Linked DNA regions of Mus musculus. The protein of the gene in region 5 binds, or shares a complex with, the protein of the main gene of each other region. Links are inferred from orthologs where the notes say so. Each region holds a gene or a part of one and is shown on either strand. Other genes may lie near its edges.

Evidence for each region.
Region 1: the proteins of Rbl1 (region 5) and E2f5 are in contact, whole or in part, in a crystal structure (PDB 5TUV), measured with the Homo sapiens proteins. The link is inferred for Mus musculus from reciprocal best matches to the Homo sapiens genes RBL1 and E2F5. Residues at the interface, in NP_002886.2 of Homo sapiens: Ser1000, Ala1001, Leu1002, Leu1003, Tyr1004, Lys1005, Phe1006, Asn1007, Ile1017, Met1020, Ile1021, Gly1024, Glu1025; in NP_001942.2 of Homo sapiens: Met162, Ile190, Ala192, Pro193, Ser194, Gly195, Thr196, Gln197, Leu198, Glu199, Val200, Pro201, Ile202, Pro203, Glu204, Met205, Tyr213, Leu217.
Region 2: Rbl1 (region 5) and Lin9 share a complex: the UniProt entries of both Homo sapiens proteins name them as parts of the DREAM complex. The link is inferred for Mus musculus from reciprocal best matches to the Homo sapiens genes RBL1 and LIN9.
Region 3: Rbl1 (region 5) and Mybl2 share a complex: the UniProt entries of both Homo sapiens proteins name them as parts of the DREAM complex. The link is inferred for Mus musculus from reciprocal best matches to the Homo sapiens genes RBL1 and MYBL2.
Region 4: the proteins of Rbl1 (region 5) and Arid4a are in contact, whole or in part, in a crystal structure (PDB 7SMC), measured with the Homo sapiens proteins. The link is inferred for Mus musculus from reciprocal best matches to the Homo sapiens genes RBL1 and ARID4A. Residues at the interface, in NP_002886.2 of Homo sapiens: Tyr849, Ile850, Lys853, Val854, Thr860, Phe861, Gln862, Met865, Lys866, Arg869, Tyr879, Arg880, Asp929, Leu930, Ile931, Tyr934, Asn935, Val939, Ala946, Leu947; in NP_002883.3 of Homo sapiens: Leu957, Val958, Cys959, His960, Glu961, Val962, Asp963, Leu964, Asp965, Asp966, Leu967.

The regions. Positions count from the first base shown.
Region 1 is NC_000069.6:14,577,305-14,581,470, forward strand, and holds the start of E2f5 (transcription factor E2F5), read left to right. Parts: upstream 1-1,366; 5' UTR 1,367-1,515; coding exon 1,516-1,719; intron 1,720-3,831; exon of another isoform or gene 3,832-3,902; intron 3,903-4,166.
Region 2 is NC_000067.6:180,639,731-180,643,949, reverse strand, and holds the start of Lin9 (protein lin-9 homolog), read right to left. Parts: upstream 2,801-4,219; 5' UTR 2,632-2,800; coding exon 2,553-2,631; intron 2,101-2,552; exon of another isoform or gene 1,958-2,100; intron 1-1,957. UniProt on the Homo sapiens protein: Acts as a tumor suppressor. Inhibits DNA synthesis. Its ability to inhibit oncogenic transformation is mediated through its association with RB1. Plays a role in the expression of genes required for the G1/S transition.
Region 3 is NC_000068.7:163,053,297-163,057,434, forward strand, and holds the start of Mybl2 (myb-related protein B), read left to right. Parts: upstream 1-1,338; 5' UTR 1,339-1,532; coding exon 1,533-1,552; intron 1,553-4,138. UniProt on the Homo sapiens protein: Transcription factor involved in the regulation of cell survival, proliferation, and differentiation. Transactivates the expression of the CLU gene.
Region 4 is NC_000078.6:71,014,501-71,018,766, reverse strand, and holds the start of Arid4a (AT-rich interactive domain-containing protein 4A), read right to left. Parts: upstream 2,801-4,266; 5' UTR 2,606-2,800; intron 1,898-2,605; exon of another isoform or gene 1,677-1,897; 5' UTR 1,625-1,676; coding exon 1,619-1,624; intron 1-1,618.
Region 5 is NC_000068.7:157,194,535-157,198,034, reverse strand, and holds part of Rbl1 (retinoblastoma-like protein 1), read left to right. Parts: intron 1-1,679; coding exon 1,680-1,880; intron 1,881-2,210; coding exon 2,211-2,275; intron 2,276-2,365; coding exon 2,366-2,494; intron 2,495-2,594; coding exon 2,595-2,755; intron 2,756-3,500. UniProt on the Homo sapiens protein: Key regulator of entry into cell division. Directly involved in heterochromatin formation by maintaining overall chromatin structure and, in particular, that of constitutive heterochromatin by stabilizing histone methylation.

The sequences.
Region 1 (4,166 bases), on a different chromosome or scaffold from region 5:
GTTCACAGCAGCTTTATTCATAATAGCCGGAAACTGGAAACAACCTACATTCCCTCAATCGAACAATGGATTTAAAGATAAAATAAGTGGTACATTATCACAATGGAGTATTACTCGGTTGTTTAAAAAAAAAAATGACATCATGAAATATACTGGCAAATTGATGGAACTCAAAAACCTCATCCTGAGTGAAGTAACCCAAACTCAGAAAGATGAACATGGTACATACTCACTTATAAGTGGATCTTAGCTGTAAAGTAAACATAATGCTACAATCCCCAGACCCAGAAAGACTAAGTAACAAGACAGGCTAAAGAGGGTATCTCTCTGGAAAGGGTCAGTGGAATAGAATCTGCAGGTGGATTGGGGGGGCAGACGGGGATTTTAAGTGTTGCAGCTCTGAAGGAAAATGCTTCCCCTACAGAAGTTTTGCTCCAGACGCCTGGAAAAATTTTGGTTTAAAATTGTTTTCAGGATTTACTAGTTAATGCTGTCAGTTTCTCCTCGCGTTTTGTTTTTTTGTTTTTTTTTTTCCCTACTGTTAATTTGGGCATTCTTGCATGAAGGATATGTCTTCATTAATTCCTGCCAAATGATGTTTTTAGTCACCTACTACTTGTTAAGTGTGAAGGATATTCAACAGGTGCGAATACCAAGTTGTTTAAGATCTTGGGTTTTTTTTTGTTTTTGTTTTTTGTTTTTTGTAAACTTTTATTTATTTACATTCCAAATGTTACCCCCCCTTCCAGGTAGCCCCTCCAAAAGTTCTTCATCCCATACCCCCTTCCCTTTGCCTCTGAGAGGTTGCTCCCCACACTACCCCGACCCATCTTACCCACCCAAGGTGTTGAAGATTTTAATCCTGAGTCTCAAGTTTGCAAATAAAAAATGTGGGAGCACATTTCCTCCTCTTATATCTGTGATCTTACTATCGAGCCATAGTTTACGATGTCAATAAGTCAAAAGATGCTGCGATTGTCTCAATAATAGAATTATTGGGGAGCAAAAGAGTATAATTTTGTAAAGAACACTAAAGGCAGGTAAGGAAAGAGCTGGGGGTCTACTTCCTTCACCGTCAAGGCTCAGGTGCTTCTGTTTGCAGAAAAGGCTTTGGAAAAGACTGAAGGTCAGAGTCCCAAAACCTTCCGGGACGCGGCGTTCTCCTATTTACGCGAAGATGAGCCTTACAATACTTGCACCTGATCAGGGATGAGCGCTCCAGGCCGACCAAAAGCACGCTCCGCCTGAGGGAACCCGACTGCCCCGCCCCTCCGCGGAGAGTGCGTTACTAGGCAACGCCGCGCGGCGTCACTTCCTGCCATTTAAACTCGGGCCCACCCTCGCGGCGCTGGCCGCTCGTGTGAATCCGCGCGCTCTGTGGTGCCGTGCGCGAGCCGCGCGGCTCCGGGGACTGGTGGACGCGGGGCGCGCCGTGGGCGGGGAGCGGAGTCCGCGCACCTCCTCTGCCGGTGGCGGAGCGGCTCCTCGCCAGAGGACAGCAGGGCCGCGGCGGTGATGGCGGCGGCGGAGCCCACGAGCTCTGCTCAGCCCACGCCGCAGGCCCAGGCTCAGCCGCCGCCGCATGGGGCGCCATCCTCGCAGCCGTCCGCGGCGCTCGCGGGGGGCAGCAGCCGGCACGAGAAGAGCCTGGGCTTGCTTACCACCAAATTCGTGTCGTTGCTGCAGGAGGCGCAGGACGGCGTCCTGGATCTCAAAGCGGTGAGCGGGGATGGGGAGGGCGAGGCCCGCCCGAGGGTGCTGGGTCCACCACCCCCACTGCGCCGAGACTCCGGACCCGGAGGGGCCGGGATGGATGCGGGGGCCCCACCGACCGGCCACCGCGCGGCCCTGGCCACAAAGGAGCACCCGGAGCGAGCGCCCAGGAATTCGCGCTCTGCTCTGGACTCGCTTAAGGACCGACCGCTCTGCAGAACTTCATTCCTGTTTTGAAGAACTTTCATGCCAGTTCTTCGGAATGAAAGAGGAAAAGAGAAAACTTTCCACACCTCCTCTAAAGTAGTAGTTTTTAGAAGGGGACATTCTTCATCGAGAATTAAGAATTGGGAAGTAAGATTGGATTTGTTGGCTTAATTTAGAATCTTTCTACTTTCTAGACCTGAGATTTGCGGTCACACAGAGAGGGGTCATTTTGTGCCGTTCAGACTAAGTGGTGAAATTACTTAGTAAGCTTTATCTGGTTTTATAAGGATGTTTGCTTCGTTCTTTGCTATGGTTCGGATTTTTTTCAAACAACAACGTCCATTTAAAGCAGTTCAGTCATAGTGATTTAACCGTTCCTGGCAAAACTTGGAAGGATTCCACAACGCAGGGAAAGGGGAACAGTATGGGATCGTGCGAATTAAAATTCAGCTAGTACAAGGAGGTTCAGAAAGAGCCAATACTTCAAAAATAAACAAAATTGCTAGTTTACAGTCACAGCGAATAGCCTCTTATGACTCCTCACAGCTCCTGGCTTGAAGCTATTACCATCCTCAAGACCGTGGGTGGCCAAGGCATAGGAAATAGGAGTCTTAACAGGAGAAGCCTGCCTTCCAGAACTCTGCTGAGTGTCCTGTCCTGGCCCAGTGGGAGGCGCTGGCTTGTTGGCACTTGGATTCCCCCCTTTTCCTGGGTGTAGATGCCAGTTAGTGTCGGTTCATATTTGGAAATGTTACTCCTGGGACCTTTTTCCACTTTTATTCCCCCCACCCTACCCTCACCTCTTCTTTCCCTCCTCTAATGGGCATCTACAGTACTCAAATTGTATTGAATTCAAATGGTACGGTTTCCAGTTTCACTGGCGTTAATGAGGTCAGCAGAGAAACACCTGATGCTACAAAACACCCATTGAAATCTGCTGTTTAAAGTTAAATTCACCTGTAGTGGATGACTACATTAAAAAATTCAGAGAATTTCGGGGCTTTCCGGGTAAACGTGGGATTTGATGGTTTGTCCTGAAATATGCTCAAACCTCGGAAAATGATTTCTAGATTTAGTTGTTTGACTTACTTAACATGTATGACAGCAGGTTCTGGCATTGAATAGCAGAAGTCTGATATTCAAAAGTCTTTCTGTTATCTGGATCTATCCTAAAGATTCAAAGACTTCTGTAGTAATAAATAATTACTTAAAATAATAAGTAATGACTTACAGAGACCTGTATACCTTTCTTTTGGCTAGGTAGAAAAACATTTTACTTATGCATACTTTTTATGTTTATGAATACATATAAAACCATATGTATAAAAATGGCTTACACTGAAGTATTTATCCCTCGTGATGCTTCTTATAGTACATCATCGTGAGATATTAAGATATTCTAATAATACATGTTAAAAGATAGTCCTATTTACAATAAATTTCTAAGTGGAAATTTTAAAACGTGCACTTTATTTTTATAATAGAATCCTTCATTTTTGTGAAAATCATAAATATAGAAATATATTTTTTTCATTAAATACCCTGAGTGGTCATTAAATATTCACGACTGTAGAGGATAAGCCTAATATTCCCATCCAAATGTGTGCCCGACACACTAAACTTAGGTAAGTCCTGGCTTAGGTCTGCTAAGTGAGATCGGACATTTGAAACTGGACTGTTACTTTCTATGCTGTATTGCCTTTAAGAACTAGTAAGTTCTTGAAAATAAACTTAAGTTTTTATATATCTGTTTGTTATGGATCTCTTTTGTGTAAAGAAAAAAAAATGCATAATTTTACACCCTTAGAGTAAACTAACATGTTAGGTGATGGGCATCCATCTGGAAAGGAGAGAGAGCACTGGTGGCAGATTCTGTAGAAACAGATTAAACTAGTTTTTATTTTTCTGTAGCTTAATCACTGAACTGTTAAGGAGTGTGAGTGTCTGTTGCTCTGAAAATTCCTGTTCTGTACACTTTACAGGTGAGTTGCTATGTTTCATTGGCCATTCTAATGCCATCTTGAACTTTGCAGGGACAGTGTGGCTTGTGTATGTTGTGTTATTATTATTTAAGTTACAGATTATCTGAATGACACCTAAGTATTCTCTCCCAGAACTAGACACATACATAACAAATGACCTAAATGATAACCACTTAGAAGAGACATGATTCGGCCTTAGGCTTTTAGACGGTAACAAGGTTTTGGAGGTAATTGGCATGAGGAAGGATGTCTGGAGCTCTGCAG
Region 2 (4,219 bases), on a different chromosome or scaffold from region 5:
ATGAAGATCAAATGTACGGAAAGCAAACGGGACTGTGCGTGAGTGAGTGCAGGCGTGCGTGAGTACATGCATGTGTATTTCTTTTTTTATACACCTAGTTACAGTAAATACTCAGGAAATGATAACTTTTATAATTGATGTTACAGGAGCTATTAGCTAATATACTACATAGCTCCCTTAACTAAACTGGGGGGAAAAATACAAAAAAATTAGTGTTTTTTCAAATCACACTGAAATTACTTTCTCTTTCCAAGATCATGCTCCATCTTATTAGTAATATTACTCCAAATTCAGTTCCATTTTAGTCAAATTTTTAAGTCTATTTGTGTCATTGCTAACAAATCAAAATTACAATTCTTGCTTTTGACAAACCGGTAGTTTAGCTAAAAAAAGACACACACACACCCTTCCCCAAGTCCCAGAGACATTGCATGGTAGTATCAACAATTAGGTTATACATAGTGTAACAGTGTAGCTAATATCTGAACCTCAATGTAAACCCTAAGTTTGTACAAAGAACAAGTAAGAAAATCCTTCTCCTAAAGGTATGCTCACAGACACATCTAGAGGTGTGCTTTGCTGATCTCCTAGGTATTTCTCAATGCAATCAAGCTATCAAAATTAACCATCACCACAGGCATGAGGAAAAGCCTAAGTGGCTCAGCTCTGGTGGGCTGCTGACCAACAACCGTGTGACTGCAGGTGAGACAGCCCTGAGAAGTCACAGAGCGTACCCATTACAGATGATGAAACATTTTACAGTACAGCCCAGGCTGGCCTCCAACTTAAGAGTTAGCCTTTTGTCTTAGCTCACATGTGTTAGGTTAACACACGTCACGGTGCCCAGCTTAAGAAAAAAAATCTCTTCAGATGGCAGGTAACATTCTACTTACTTGAATTATCTATATTTTCAAGCATCGTAAATATCAATCAACCATATTCTCCAAACAAGAACGATAAACTTAGGGATATTCTATAGATAATGCCTTATCAATACAGTAATCACTAGCTATTTAAATATAAGTCAAGATTAAATAGAAATAAAAGAGCAGCACCTGAGCCATCTAGTCACAGGTGACTACCGGTTGCTCACTGCACACTAGAAAAGTGACATCTCCATCCACCATCGAGAACGTTCTTTTGAGACTTAGCACTGGTCTAAATCAAAATTAAAACACAAACATTCTGAATACTGGCAACCTGAACTTCTGACTTAACAATATAAGAAATACACGATATCAAAGAAAACAGAATTAAGAGTTATCTCTCTTTTAAAGGCATATTTGCGTTGCCCACAGATACATCTTACAGAGTTCGAGTTTTTTCTTTGCTTTTGAAACGGGTTTCTCTGACCTGACTTCCTGTTGGGGCACACCAAATGGTTAAAAAACAAAACCACTACTTTATTTGTCATAAAAATGATACAATCGTTCTAAATACAGATTGCTCAGTTTGGAGGTTTGTTTGTTTGTTTGTTTTCCAAGACAGGATTTCTCTGTGTAGCCTTGGCTGTCCTGGAGCTTGGTATGTAGACTGGGTGGGCCTCGAACTCGGAGATCCACCTGCCTCTTCCTACCGAGTGCTGAGATTAAAGATGTGCGCCACCACACCTGCGAACCTTTCGTTGACCAAGGGCTACAAATACACACCACAGAGTACGTGTTGCTTCAAGACCATTTTGTAACTAAAATGCCTTTTAATAATGTGTGCAATATGAAAATTACAAAATTGTTCCCTTGTCCTTAGGTCGCAGAGTAGCTGGCTTTACTGTCTGCGGACAGGTGAACATCCGTCTCAGAGGTTGTGAGTATAGAAGGAGAAGTGAGGCAGTGAACAGGGGTGGGTGTCAGGCAGAATAACATACTTATATGGGCTGCGGTGCTCACATCCGTGTGTAATGCCCACCCCACAGTCTAGAGACACATCCACTCAGGAGGGAGACTGGGAATGGGGCTACCTCGGCACTGTATCCCGGCTGGATCATCTCCGGAAAGGTCCAGGGCCACCTGTAGTCCCAGGGGAAGGGGCCAAGCCTGTGTGACACGGAAGAAAACACTTCCAGGATGGACGCGGGGGGTCGGGGGGAGCGATCACAAGTGCCTGCAGAAGCAGGAGCCGTCAGAGGATCAGATCGGAGGCCCGGGGCACCAAGAGGGGCTGTGTCCCCGGTGCCCAGCCCGAGCCCTCCCGGCCCCCGGCCGGCGAGTTACATAACCGGGCGGGCGAGGAGGACGGCGCCCGCAACTGGGGGGCCGCTCTTCGCCCACCCCGGCCGGCGACAGCAGTCGCTCCGGGAGAGCAGCCGCCGACTCCGTCAGGACAGGCTGGACTCCCGGGCTTTCGGTTTCCGGCGCTGGCGCTCGCACAACCCCAGAAACAGACACACAAGACACCATAACAAAGGCGGCGACGCGGCGGCAGCGCCTGAGGAGGAAGGCCGGGGACTGCGGTGGGCTGGCGGCCATCCCACCTGCCCGGCAACCGGACTCGGCCGGTGCGACCCCGGGACGGGCAACCGGCGGGAAGGAGGGCTGCTCTGAGACGCTACTTACTCTCGTCAGGCAACTGGTCGAGCTCCGCCATCTTGAACGAGCCGCGCCGCTTTTTCAAAGGCTGCCCGCCCCGGTGCATTGTGGGGCGGAGACTGTCTGCGAGGGAGGTTCGAATGAGGAGCTCGCGGCCCGCGGCGCCTGCTCCCGCCAGGCCGTCCGGCTCCGCCCGAGCCCGGCGGGAGGGGGCCTCGGGGCCTCGCCCGCACCCCGGGCCGGGCCCGGAGGAGGACAGGGGACGCCTCGCCGAGAGGCCCGGTAGGGCCGAGCGCGGGGGGCGCGGCGCCAGCACCGATGCGCCCGCCCGCGCCGCCCCCCTCGCCTGCGCTCGCTCCCGGCGCGCGGCCCGCGCTGCGGCTGCGGGAACTGCAGGCCGGTTCCCGAGGGGAGCGGGACGCAGGCCCGGGCCGGTGGCGCGGCGGACGAGACCTGGGTTCCTGGTCGCTTGGCACGGAGGGGGCTCTGCCCAAAGTAACGTGGACTCGGCTCCCCAGATCGCGTTTCTCCGGCGCCCCGGCCCCTGCCCTTCCCCCCCACCGAGTGCCCGGGCCGCGGCGTCCGCTTCGCCTGCAGGTCACGGACGCGGGGTCCGGGCGGCCCGGGCCGGAACCTGAGCTGCGAGCGGCCGGGACGAGACCTTGAGAGGTCACCAAGTTGGTGTAGGCCGAGGGCTAGTGAACTGTCCTGCTTTCTTTCTCTAATGCGCTCCACCCGAGACCGGTAGTGAGCTGGGAGCCTCACAGTGACTAAGGATGCTTGGGGAAGACACAAGTGACACTAGCCAAGTGTAATGAAACTGGATGGGGATTCCTCCCTTGCTGAAAGAAGCCGGGAAAGATTTCACGGTTCCCATCTGTAACACTTTCTAGTATTTAAACCACGGTGGCTTTTCAACTACTATTTTTACAAGCGTGGTTGATCTCCGGGGTGGGTCTATTCTCCAGGGATTTATGAGGAGGGGGTAGTCGGCGAATGGAGAATTTAAAACAAAACAAAAACGAGTGGATGAGTGACTTCCACAAACTAAAAAGTTTAAAGATGGTTCAGTGAGGTGAGAGCAGATCTAGACAGGCCAGCCCAGGCTAAGTTGGGCTTGGTAAAAAGAATAAAGCGAGGTCTTAAGTAGTACGAAGGGCAGGCTTTCATTTCTTTTCTAGAACACATTCAAGAATGTGAGGCACAGGTTGGAGAAAGACAAGATGAGACTCTTGGGCGAGCAATAGAGTGGAAGACTTCAGGCTCAGGAAAAGGGCAGCAGGCTGTGAAAGTTAAGGGTGCAACTTGGGCTGCTACTTGTATCAGTCCCAGGCAAGCTTAATACTTGTGCTTCAACTTCTCCTCAGTAAAATGCAGGCAAAAATTCCACTCTTGCTTAATGAGTGGAAAGAACTTATAATGGCTCCTTGCAGCCAGCTGTTTGCTGCTACAGCCTCCAGTTTATAGACAGTAGGGAGTACCGCTGAATCTGGGGTGGAGGGAGGGGCAGGATGGAAAATCCACCTTTCGAGAGGTGAGGGGAAAGACTAGTGCGAGCAAGAGAAGCACATGGGTGCTGGCCCTTCTGGGCCCAGGGTAAGTGGGGGAGGAGGTGGGCGGGAAGTAAAACGTTGTAACAAAGTAACCTAGCCTTCTGAGAGAATCTAACCCCCCCTGAGCCTTCTGAACACATT
Region 3 (4,138 bases), about 5.9 Mb from region 5:
CTATAAACTCTAGAACTACAGTTTGGGGAAGTCAGTGCCTCAGTTTCTCCATCTGCTATCGGGTAATACAAGCATATAACTCATTGGGTTGTTATGAAGATCAAAGGTTTCTATGAACTGTTTTTGTAGGTGAGGAAGCAGGCATGGAGAAGTTTGATAATTTGAGATAATGGAACTAGGGAAAGGTAGGCTGGGAATCACCCCCGAGGAGATCTCACTGTAAAGCACACTAGCCGTGAAGAGCAGCGATCCACATGAACTCCTTTGAAGGGAGAGGGGTGGGGGGAAGCCTTGAATTAAGCCAGGTGAAAACTTGTAGCTTTCAAGTCTTCATCCTTCTGTAGTAAATGAAGTTTTCGGAGTTGTACTGTCTAAAAGGGGCCAGCAGTTTTTGGAAAGAGATCTGAGGCCTGAGCCTAAAGGGCATTTGGCTGGGGTTCTTCCAGGCTCCTATCCTTTCAGGGAGTCCCAGTAAGATGACACTCAGTTTTTAGGTAGTAAATGACAACCTGAAAGAGACAACCCTTGCCATCAGAAATTGAACGTAAGCCAACAAGCCTTCCCCCTGGGCTTAATACATTTCCTAGGAAAGGCTGCTGGGATCCCAGAATGCTCACAGTTCAGCAGAGGAAATGCGCACAAATGCAAGCAGATGGGCAGGAGACCCCAGTCGGGGAAGATGTGGGGAGTTCCTGGTCCAAATACGGCCCAAGCAAAAGCTGCAAGACTTAATTTCGCCTCTCTGTGTCTTGGCGTGGTGATCTGGAAGGCCGTTACTAAATGGAGTTACAAAGATTTAACCCGGACAGAAGAGAGGTTTAAGTTTGGTGAGAGAAATGTTGGGATTTTGAGCTGGGTCTCTCTGAGGCAGCTGAAGAAGCAAGAGGCTTGCAAAGGAAAAGATACAAACCCAGTCAAAGGGAGCATGGGGGCTCTAGGGATAGTGGCTTGGACCGTCCCAAGCAGTGACAATTTGGGCGGGAAGTTTCTCCTATTCAGTTCTTCCAGTCTTTGCTATGTGTGTGGCTCGGGGTCTATCTAAGATTCACACAGAGCCAGGCCTCGCGCCTCATTGAATCCCTAAGGTAGGTGTATCTGGACACAGTAGATTGCCAACTAACAGAGCATCTGCCCGCTTGCACATTCGGTTTCTGCCCTCCGGTAAACCACTCCCCTCTTCCCCATGCTTGGGCTCCGCCCCTACAGTAGGCCCCTCCTAGGGTTCTGGCGCGCGGGCTCCGCCCCTCGTGTCTTGTACGCTTCGCCCCTTCCGTATGCTCCGCCCCTGCGCTCGCGCGCCAGGGCCGGGCGGCGCCGACGCACTTGGCGGGAGATAGGAAAGTGGTTCTGTGCGCTCCCTAGGCAGCTGCAGTTCCTGGGAACGTGCGACCAGACCTGCAGACACGCTGACGCCTGAGAGCACCGCCTGGGGCCCGGAGCGGCTCGAGCAGCCTGAGTCCTGACCCCGGCCCGGCTCCCGCTCCGGGCTCGGCCGGCGGGCGTAAGGGTGCGGCGGGGTCCGGGCCGGGGGGATGTCTCGGCGGACGCGCTGGTGAGAGGCTGCGGGCGCGCTGGGGTCCTCTCCCTTCTCCTTGGGTCGGCAAGCGTGAGATGGGGATCCCCGGGAGAAATGCACCCTGCGCCGCCCGATGCAGGGGCGCGCGCCACGTTAAGAGGCTATCGGGACCCCCTCGCTCGGTTCCTGGGCCTCCTGGGCCCGGGAGTCTGAAAGCGCGGGTTCCCCCTCTAGACCGGGTCCCAGCCCTGGGTGAGGTCCATCATCTCCCGCCTAATTGCAGGGTGGGGAAGGAAGGCTGTCGCTCGCGGTGTCAGCTGGAGGCCCATTACTGGGTAGGGAGAATGTCTCCCCTTGTCGCAGCGAGTGGAAGGCAGAAGCCTGGGAGACACTTGTCGATCAAGAGTGGCTCGAATTTGCTGGCGTTCCTTTCTTGTTAGCATTCCGGGAAGCACAAAGCCCCTGGGCCCTCCGCGGGATGCGAGACGGGGAATTCGTTGTCTCATGGGGTTTCGGCGGCCGGTTCGGTTTGGTTTCAGAAGCCTTCTTCCTGTCCCACGCTAGTTTTGGGCAGTTGGGGATGAGTAAAGACTATTGGTGTGCAACGAGACTGCTCTGCTAGCAGCCTCTGAGCCAAAGGCAGGAACTGGGTTTCCCTCTTAGTTCCCTAGAGGTTAGGTGGCTGGGTCAAGTCTGGACTTTTGGGACACCTGTGTATCTGGGGCCTAATCGCGGGGCTTTCCAGCCTTTCTAAGGCGTGGGATAATTGGGTTCTGCTGTGTTCCTTCTGGGTCTTTCCAATTCAGAACGCCTTTCCACCGTCTTCAGATGGCCGAACCTGGCCTAGGATGAAGATAAGGCACAGAGATGCCTGCTTGCTTACTTGCAGAGTTCTTCGTGGCTGGGTTGGGTATTGGTTTGGTCTGTGGGTGCTGATCAGGGTGGCTTCCCATGCCCCGGTGTCTAGGACAGTTCAGTGCCCAGGAAGGGCATCTGGAAGTACTAATCCCAGAGCCCCGGGCTTATCTGAGGGTCTCTTTTGTGAAGTGTGGACTCTGTGCCCCTGCATCCTCACGAGCCTTTCTCTGCCACATGGTGTGACTCCCTGTACCCCAGTGGCCCACTTCCCTCTTGGCCTCTGACTCACCTTTCCCTGGAGCATAGCCCAGAACGTACAAGGGCAAGAGAAAGGGTATGTGTATATACAAAAGTGTGACTTTTCTTTAAACAGCACACTGGCCTCTGCTTTTCATGCTACGGTTCCTAGGGAGGTTAGGGTGTAAAAATGTGGAGCTTGGTGTGACATAATCGTTGTCGGCCTCACTTTTCCCGTCTGTTAAATGGAGCCCTTGAGAATGCGCAAGAAGGTGTGTGACTGATGGATACTCCCATCTGTTTAATAGTGTGACCATGCCGGGTAGCAGCAACACATGTCTTTAATCACAGCACTCAGGCAGGTGAATCTCTTCAGTATACAGGACAGCATGGTTTGCAGAGTGAGTTCCAGGGCAGCCAAGGCAACATAGAGATACCTATCTCAAAGGACCCCCGCCCTCCAAATACTGTCACTATTACACAGCACTGAGGCTTCAGGCTCTCTTACACAGAGCCTTTTCCCTAGGACACCGGCTGAGCTTCTAATAGAATCTGGGCCTCGTGCTGGGTTTTGGAGAAGCAAACTCAACTGATAATGTTTAGTAGATTTTGCCTCCTGCTTTACAATGGTAGGTGGGGCGTGCATTGGGTCAGCACTGACAATACAAATCTGCTTTCTGGATTCTGTGACGCGTATTGCTAGGCTTAGGAACTTCTTTTCGTTTTCGTCGGGATTTTTTTTTAGAATTGTTTCGTAGGCAGCATCTTTGCAAGTATCCATTCATTCACAAATCCACTCCTTCCCTGGGCAAATATTTCTTTAGGCCTTTTCTGTGCCAAATTCCAGGATGTGAAGTTGGAGCTGACCTTTGTGGGTGAAGTCAAGAGCAGAGGTTGGGGCTGAGGGCTGGACCTGGCTTTCCAGAGTGCTTGTATGTGTGTAGGAGTGACAGGGAGGGAGGCTGTGCTGAGTGTGAGGGAAGACAGGGAGGGCTGTGCAGACACCAACGCTGCACACTTGTGGGCACAAAGTGTGGCTCGTCTTGCTCGTTTGGAAATCTCTACTCTTCCCAGTTACATATGACTGACTAACCTTTCGTATTTGCTCGAGGTGACCGAGTGCAGGTCCCGGGGAAGGATTAACCAAGTTCTGTGAAAAACTGGTTGTTTGCCTTTCTCCCTTAGTTATGTATCTGTGGGTGGTTTTGTGCACTTGCGTGTAGGTGCCCACAGAGGCCAGAGTGGCTGGACCCTTCTGGAGCTGGGAGGTTGTGGGAAGGGTGCTGGAGGCTGAATTTAGGTCCTCATCAAGGGCAGTATGTTCCTTAGTGGAGCCAGCTCTCCAGTCCCTAACTAGCATTCATAGTGTGATCTCCTTCCTCAAACCATCAAACTAGGCAATAGGATTTTGATAGCAGGTAAAATATTCCATGTTAGCCAGGTGATAGTGGTGCGTGCCTTTAAACCCAGCAGGGAGGCAGAGACAGGCCGATCTCTGAGTCTACGATTGAGTTCCAGGATAGCTAC
Region 4 (4,266 bases), on a different chromosome or scaffold from region 5:
CAATGTATCTCTAGACACAAGAAACTAAGAAACCTCTTTCCAAAATTGCTTTGGCTGAAGGTTGCAAATGAAAGGTTTAAATCTAAGTTCAACAGATGAAAACTGATAGCTAAAGGCTGCAGCCTTTTCTAGTTTACAGCTTTGATCTCAGTATACTTAAAATAATTTTTATTTAGACATTAGTAGCTGGGCATGGTAGGAGGTGGAGGCAGAGGCAACAAGATCTCTTTAAATTCTATGCCAGCATGTTCTCTGTTACATAGAGATATCATGGAAAACAAAACAATTAAAAAAAGAAAGAAAGAAAGAAAGAAAGAAAGAAAGAAAAGAAAGAAAACACCCATTTACAGGAAATAGTCATGATCAGAATTATACATTGAAATATGTAAGAAACTTCCATTTATACATCATTTTAATCTTGAGAGTAACAGACAACTGCTATTTCAGTCTGTGATGTTACCTAATTCAAAAGCTGTATGTATCATGCAACCAATTCAACATTATATGTACAAAGATATCAATGTTAACTTTAAATATTTTAAGTAGGAAACAAATTTTCATTTTCCCAAGTTATATTAAAGGAAGTTGTGTCACTCCAAAATAAAAAAAAATATATAAGAGGAAGTTTGAGAATTTCAGAAAGTAATATACTTAAACCGAGTCAGGCAATGGTATAGCATGCTCATCCTGCCAGCACTTGGGCAGACGCAGGAGGACGTCAAGGGAGTTCAAGGTCAGCCTTGAGAGTCTACATCGTGAGTTCCAGGCTAGCCCGGGTAAAGTATACTGTTTCAAAATAACCGAAACAAAAACAACTATATATTTTCTATTTACACACACGCACACACACACCGAACACTAAGTACAACGTTAATCATGCACGTTTAAATGTCAGTCTACTTAAAAAGAATAAAAAATGAAGAGGAATACTTTTTGGTAAGTATCTGACCAGAAACAAACAAGAGCCACAGTATCCTACCGAATTCTGAGGAATGTTATGAAAGCTTTCTTTCCCTTCAAGCAGGCTGCCACTGATGTTTGTAAGATTAGGAAGCTTCAAAAGCTACACATAGAATCCACGTTTTAAGATATATATTATGAAGACTGAACTAATCAATCTAAATATTGTCATCACCTTAGTTTACTTTCTTTCCCCAAAAATATACAGAACTATCTCTCTTACTCAAGCTACATAACATGTCTTTTAGAAAATGGCATTGGTAGTGGAAAGGGGGAAGTATAGGTTTTAAAGAAAGCAAAAGCAAAGCAAAACAAAAAAACCTTGCAAAAACCAAAGCAGGACAAAAGCTTTTCTTCTTGAAAGGTGTTTTTGACACTGAAGTGTTTGAAAATCGAAAGACTGCACCGATCTTCTCAAAGTGCTAACTGCTAGAGAGTGTTGGACCGCCTGCATTTATACACACACACACACACACACATTCGAACACGCACACACACACACACACACCCCTCACCCATTCACATGTCATTTTCCTTAAAGTGCTTCTTAGTAAAGAAATCAATTCTAAGTAACAAAAAGCTGCCATTCCACAACTGCAGCCTCCGGACTGGCAGCGTCCGGGGCACAAGGCTAAGAAGAAGAGTTGGCTCCACTTACCTTCATCTTGACTGGTGACCTGTGGGGTTCCAGCTTCCTCGAGTTCTCTTCCCGGGCGCTAGAGCCAAAGCAGGGAAAAGAGAGGCAGAGGATCAGTCCAAGGCGGGGTGAGACCCGGAAAGAAAGTAAACAAATGCAGGCGGGGAGGGGCCGAGCTCCGCGGCCCCCGGGACAGACCCCCGTCGGGCAGCCAAAGCCTGGCGGGCAGTGAGCCCCACGCGCGCCAAAGGGCAGCGCGTCCCGCCCCTGCCCGGCCGGCCGGCCCACCGCGCCCCCGCCTCGTCGGCCACTCGCAGCCCCCTGCGCCCCGGCCTCCCGGGTCCGCGCCCCGCCGGGCCCCGACTCTAGCGCGCGCCCCGCCTCCGCCGCTCGGCCCCCTTGGCCCGCCCCGGCCCGGCCCGCGGCGGCGGCAACGGAGTGTCACGGCGCCATTGCTCTCCTGCCTCCGCTCTGCACCATGTCAGGAAGGAGAAGCGCTCCTTCACCCGGGGGGCAGGGGCGGCGGCCTGCGGCGGCGGCCGGCGCGGGGGGACCCGGCGGGGGAGGCGCGGGGCGGGGAGGCGGCAGGACAGGGTGTGGGAGGGGAGCGAGCCGCACCGCCGCAGCGGCCGTCTCCTCCCGCGCCCGCCTCAACTTTTTGTACAGCCCGGAGAGGCGCGGGCACCCCGATCTCCGCGGTCCAGCAGCGGGTCCTCGCCAAAGAAGCACAGCAGAGTTGGGGGCCGGTTCTCCCGGCAGCCCGCTCCTCCAAAGCAAACTTAGCGGCGCGGCCAGCCCCACAGCCATTTTCCCGGGGAGGCGGCGGAGGCGGTCGTGCCCGCAGTTGCCGCCGCGACTCCAGGACCCGATCGCTGCCCGGCGCCCCGGGCACAGCCCGCCCTGCATCCCCCTCTCAGCCTGCGGAGCTCCCAACTGCACCGGGACCCCATCGCGGCAGCAGCTGCTCCCGCCGCTTTGCCCATTCAGCGGCCCCCGCTGACTACCTACCTACTGCGGGTGCAGAGCGCTGTCAGCTCTCCAGTCTGCCGCCCCACTGATCGCCGTGGGTCCCCGTCCGGGCAGCACCGCTCCCGGCCGCAGCGGCAGTTCCTGCGCCGGGTTCCCCCACTCGCCCCGATTTACTGCCACAATCCACCAAATAACAAGCTGTTGAGCAGACTCGCTTCTACACGAACTCCTATTGGCTGCTCATGACGCCGAATAGCTTCGGATTGGAGCTCGCTGTCTGCCTTTCTCATTGGATGTAGCTGGGAAACTTCCATGATTGGTGCGGAAAACAGCAGGTAGGATAGCTTCCACTTCTGATTGGCTGTATCCGAACACGCACGTTATTGGAGGATAGAGGATTGAGTAAGAGAGCCCAAAAATTTGATTGGAGGAGCCGACTCCGGATGTGCTTGACTGAACACTGATTGGAGAACAAGGGGTCAGGAAGAGCAGTTCCGCACGAGGATTGGGCGGTGGCGTGTCCCATGGAAACGGAATCCAGAACTGCAGCCAGGGTTTTTCACGGGGGCGGAGCCGGCTCTTCCCCAGGCGCCTGCGCCTAACCGGTTCCCCGGCGCCATTTTGTCCCGGCAGCAGCAGCCCGCAGCTCTATCCCATTTTCTGTGTCTGGAGGGAAGGACGCGGACTCTCTCGGGTAGGTTTATTTCAGTGTGGCACCGGCTTACCCTTCCCTCCAGGACAACGCCTAGCGAAGGGTGGAGGAGTCACGGAGTCGTCCGAGAGGTCTGTCGGAGGCTCCCGGTGTCGGGTGGCCTCGGGGGTGGCGCAGCGCTGGGAGCACCGGAAGCGAGGGCGGCCATGGGAGCCGCTGTCCGCCGGCGGCGGAGCGTGGCTGGGGGGGCGTGGAGGAAGGGGGCGAGGTCGGGGGCGCACGTGTAGGTGAGTAAGCGGCCCTTTGCGCCCCTTCACTCGGGATGGCGGGATTTTACTGACACCCCCCCCCCTTCCTCCCGGCATAGCTCTGTCTCCCTTTGACATTGCATTTCGGAAGCTGGGTTGCGGTCTGCAGACACCAGGGGCCCAAGGTGGCAGCCACCTTGGTAAAAGACGGAGGAGGTGTGGTTTCTAGAAACGTCTTGCGTGGGGAAGAAGAGTTATTTCCTCCAACTGTGAAGCTTGGAGGAAACGTGGAAGCCCCGGCTTTCGGAATGCTGAGGAATGTGCCTGCCAGGACAGACGCTGCTGCCACTATGACCTTAGACAAGCGACTCTTGTCACTGCATGAGGCGAATACTATACTATTTTTTCGAAGAAAGTATTAATGCTTCAGGAAGGAACGACAGTTTCTTAGATGAAAGGGTTTTCTGGACCAGATAGACATGGATTCTGTCGTCAGCACATTGTCTTGTTAAATGACACAAAACTTAACAATTGGGCAACAGCTTATGCCCTAAATTAAAATGTGAAATGTTAACCCCAGTAAATTGCACAGTTGAGTACGTCTGAACTAACGCCATATCAACTAGTTAATATTTGTTGTTTTTGTTTTTTCAAAATTTGTTAAGATTGTGAAGTGTATTTTGGTAGTTTTACTAAGTCATGTCTATCTTTTTAAAATCTGCTTAGTTTTGGTGATGCACAAAACTAGAAAATGGTTGAGTAAACAGTTGAGGATTTTTGTTTGTTTTTCTAGAGTTGTG
Region 5 (3,500 bases):
GTTACCGACATTGTAGCTCTGTCTTTACTCCCTGGTTTTTTCTTAAGGGAAACAGTTTAAAGCTTTTGGGGAACAGCTGTGGTCCAGTCTCACTGCCACTCCCGTTGCATCCTTCCTACTTACTCCATCACTTTGTCGTTCATCATCAAGTCTCTCTCTCTCTCAGTGTTTGTTATGTAATCATTTCAAAATATGCTGTATTCATTATAGCCTTTCATCTTGAAGTTGCTTTCAGTGATATTTTAATTAATTAGTTATTATCTTATTTTTGAGAGTGGATCTCAGTTTATAGCCCAGATCCAGGCTACTATCAAAACTGGCTCCTGCTTCATTCTTCCAGCTTGTACGGTTATAAATGTGTGTCAGCATGGCCTGTTTCTGTGGTATTTCTTAATCGGGAACTTAACACAAACTTTTTTCTCTTATGCCCCTTTAATAAGGAATATTTCTATAATTTCTGTCTCTTATGACATTATTGGGATTATAGGCATGAGCCACCATGGTAATAACAACCAGTTTATAATAAAGATTTAAAAAATTATGTGGCCAGTGATGAGAAAAAGATTGTTTCTACAACAGTGGCTAGGTTTCGCTTAATGTTACTGTAGCATGAATCTTCATTTTTACCCATGACAATTGAGATCTAGTGAAGAGCCTTTAACCGTCTTGACTTTATTCATTTTCCACAAACCTAAAATTGTTGTTGTTGTTGTTTTAATTGATGTAAACTGACACTACACGTACCACTCCCCATTCCAGAATGGGGCTTTAATAACTGCTTCCTTCTACGCGGATGCTCAGGGTTAGGAAGGAGACATGACCTCAAATAGACTTATCAGTGACTCCCCTCCCCCACCCCAGAGGTGCACACCAGCATGTACCTGAATCTGGATTAGTGCCGTTCCTTGTTGCCTGCCCAGGTCAATAGTCCTGTGCAGTTGGCCAAGGAACGAGGAGAGGGTAGAACTAAGACCCACGGAATGCTTAGTAGTGACAAGAAATAAAATTAAGGAATGGAAATCAACTACACAGAGAAACTATCTCAAACAAAGAAAAAGAATGCAAACACTTGAACAGGACCCCGCCTGTAGTAGTCTGGTGCTTTGTGAACAACTTTACATTTGGGAGACTTCTTTTTCCTTCACACTGACTTTGTGAGCCTCTACACTGTTGACTGACGTTGACTTCATAGACTACATCTAGAGCATTGGCTTCCTGTAGAGGATGAAAGAATCAGGTAGGTGCTTTTATTGCCCGTATCCTAGAGGACCACTGTCACTTCGCTTTTCTCAGTCCCCGAGATGCTCCTGGAACCAGTGTGGTTAGTAGTACTGGGAGTGGAAGTTTAGGCTGGAGTGAGGGCTTATGTTGTTTTAGTTTAGGTTTTGAAAACAAAGACTTTTTTTTTTAAGATTTATTTATTCTATGTATATGAGTACACTGTAGCTGTCTTCAGACACACCAGAAGAGGGCATCAGATCCCATTACAGGTGGTTGTGAGCCACCATGTGGTTGCTGGGAATTGAACTCAGGACCTCTGGAAAAGCAGTCAGTGCTCTTAACCTCTGAGCCATCTCTCCAGCCTGAAAGCAAAGATTTTTAATCATGAAGTGACTGTGTCATTTTCAGTTCATTATGTGGACTAATTTTTAAATTACCTTTTCTTTCTTTTTTTAAAGCTTAATACAGTTTTTTAGTAAAATGAAGAAATGGATGGACATGTCAAACCTACCACAAGAGTTTCGTGAGCGGATAGAAAGGCTAGAAAGAAATTTTGAAGTATCTACTGTAATTTTTAAAAAATTTGAGCCCATTTTTTTAGATATCTTTCAAAATCCATATGAAGAGCCACCAAAGTTGCCCCGGAGCCGAAAACAGAGGTAAGAAGACCCTTGATTCTCCTAGATCTGTGATGCAGGGTCATTAGGAGACTTTAATTTTAAAAGTCCGTATTTACCTTCGGCAGAGACTTAAATTTCTTACAATCACTTATATTTCAAAATAAGGGTGATACTTTAGTTATGTTTTTCTAATCTGATTGTTGCGTGCATCTTGCAACACTCCGTGGAGTGTGCTGAGCCGTCCGTATGGCGTCCCGAGTGGAATTGTACATGCGATTTGACCCTTTCGTTTATGTTTGCTCTCCATGCTTAGCAGGTTAGCCTGGCCAAATAAAACAATAAACAAAACCAAAGCATCTCTCCCTTCAGGAGGATCCCCTGCAGTGTTAAGGACCTCTTTAACTTCTGCTGGACACTCTTTGTTTACACCAAGGGTAAGTTACACTCTCCCCGCTTTCTACCCTGGGATTTGGTGATGGTTGACATGAGCGGGTTCTGGATCTTAACTTTTTTTCCTTATGAAGGGAATTTCCGTATGATTGGTGATGATTTAGTAAACTCCTATCATTTACTTCTGTGCTGCTTGGACCTGATCTTTGCCAATGCTATAATGTGCCCAAATAGACGAGACTTGTTAAATCCATCATTTAAAGGTAAGATGTTTATTTTTGAAAAGTAATTATTAACTTTTAGAAAAAGTATAAAAATTGACTGTTCTGTCCCTCCTGTTCCCTTCATGCTTTGTCTAACTAGGCTTACCATCTGATTTCCATGCTCCGGACTTCAAAGCCGCAGAAGAGCCTCCGTGCATCATTGCTGTACTTTGTGATCTGCATGACGGACTTCTAGTAGAAGCAAAAGGGATAAAGGAGCATTACTTTAAGCCATATATTTCAAAGCTCTTTGATAAGAAGGTACTAATAATTAAATGTTTAAGGGCCAGGAGCAGCCTGAAAGTAAAGAACCGTCTCAGCATTCTAGGACCCATGGTCAGATACCCCAGGTCTGGGGCTAGAGAGATGGCTCTGAAGGTAGGAGCACTTACTGCTCGTGCAGAAGACCCAGGTTCAATTCCCAGCACCCACATGGAAGCTCACAGCTTCAGGGGAGGGAGAGTCTATGTTTTTAAAGGTATGGTTCATGGTAGGTTAACCACACTCCGGTGGGTGACCCTGCTGGTATGCCCAAGTATCTGAGCAGCACAATTGGGGTCAAGTGGAGGGAGGTGGGTAGGTTTGGGAGAAATTAGGAGGGGATAAATAAAGTCAAAATAACGTTGATGCAGTTCTTAAAGAAGTAATAAAAATATTTTTTAACTTTTGAAAAATATTGCCATAGACTAACTTTGAAGTATTTTGAAAATTTGTCTTTAGGGCTGTGTAGCATAATGGTGATGTGCTCACTTAGCCTGAGTAAATCCCCAATTCAGTATCTAGGACCATTAAAACCAAAAATACCTAGATATTGGTATGGTCCTAGATATTGAATTGGGGATTTACTCAGGCTGAGTGAGCACACCACCATTATGTCCTTAGTGCCCAAACGTTACTTTCTGTTCTCGGAGTAGTGTCACTGTTTTAAAATTAAGTGTGTGTGTGTGTGTGTGTGTGTGTATGGTGTGTATATATATATATATATATATACATGTTAGCTAGGCAG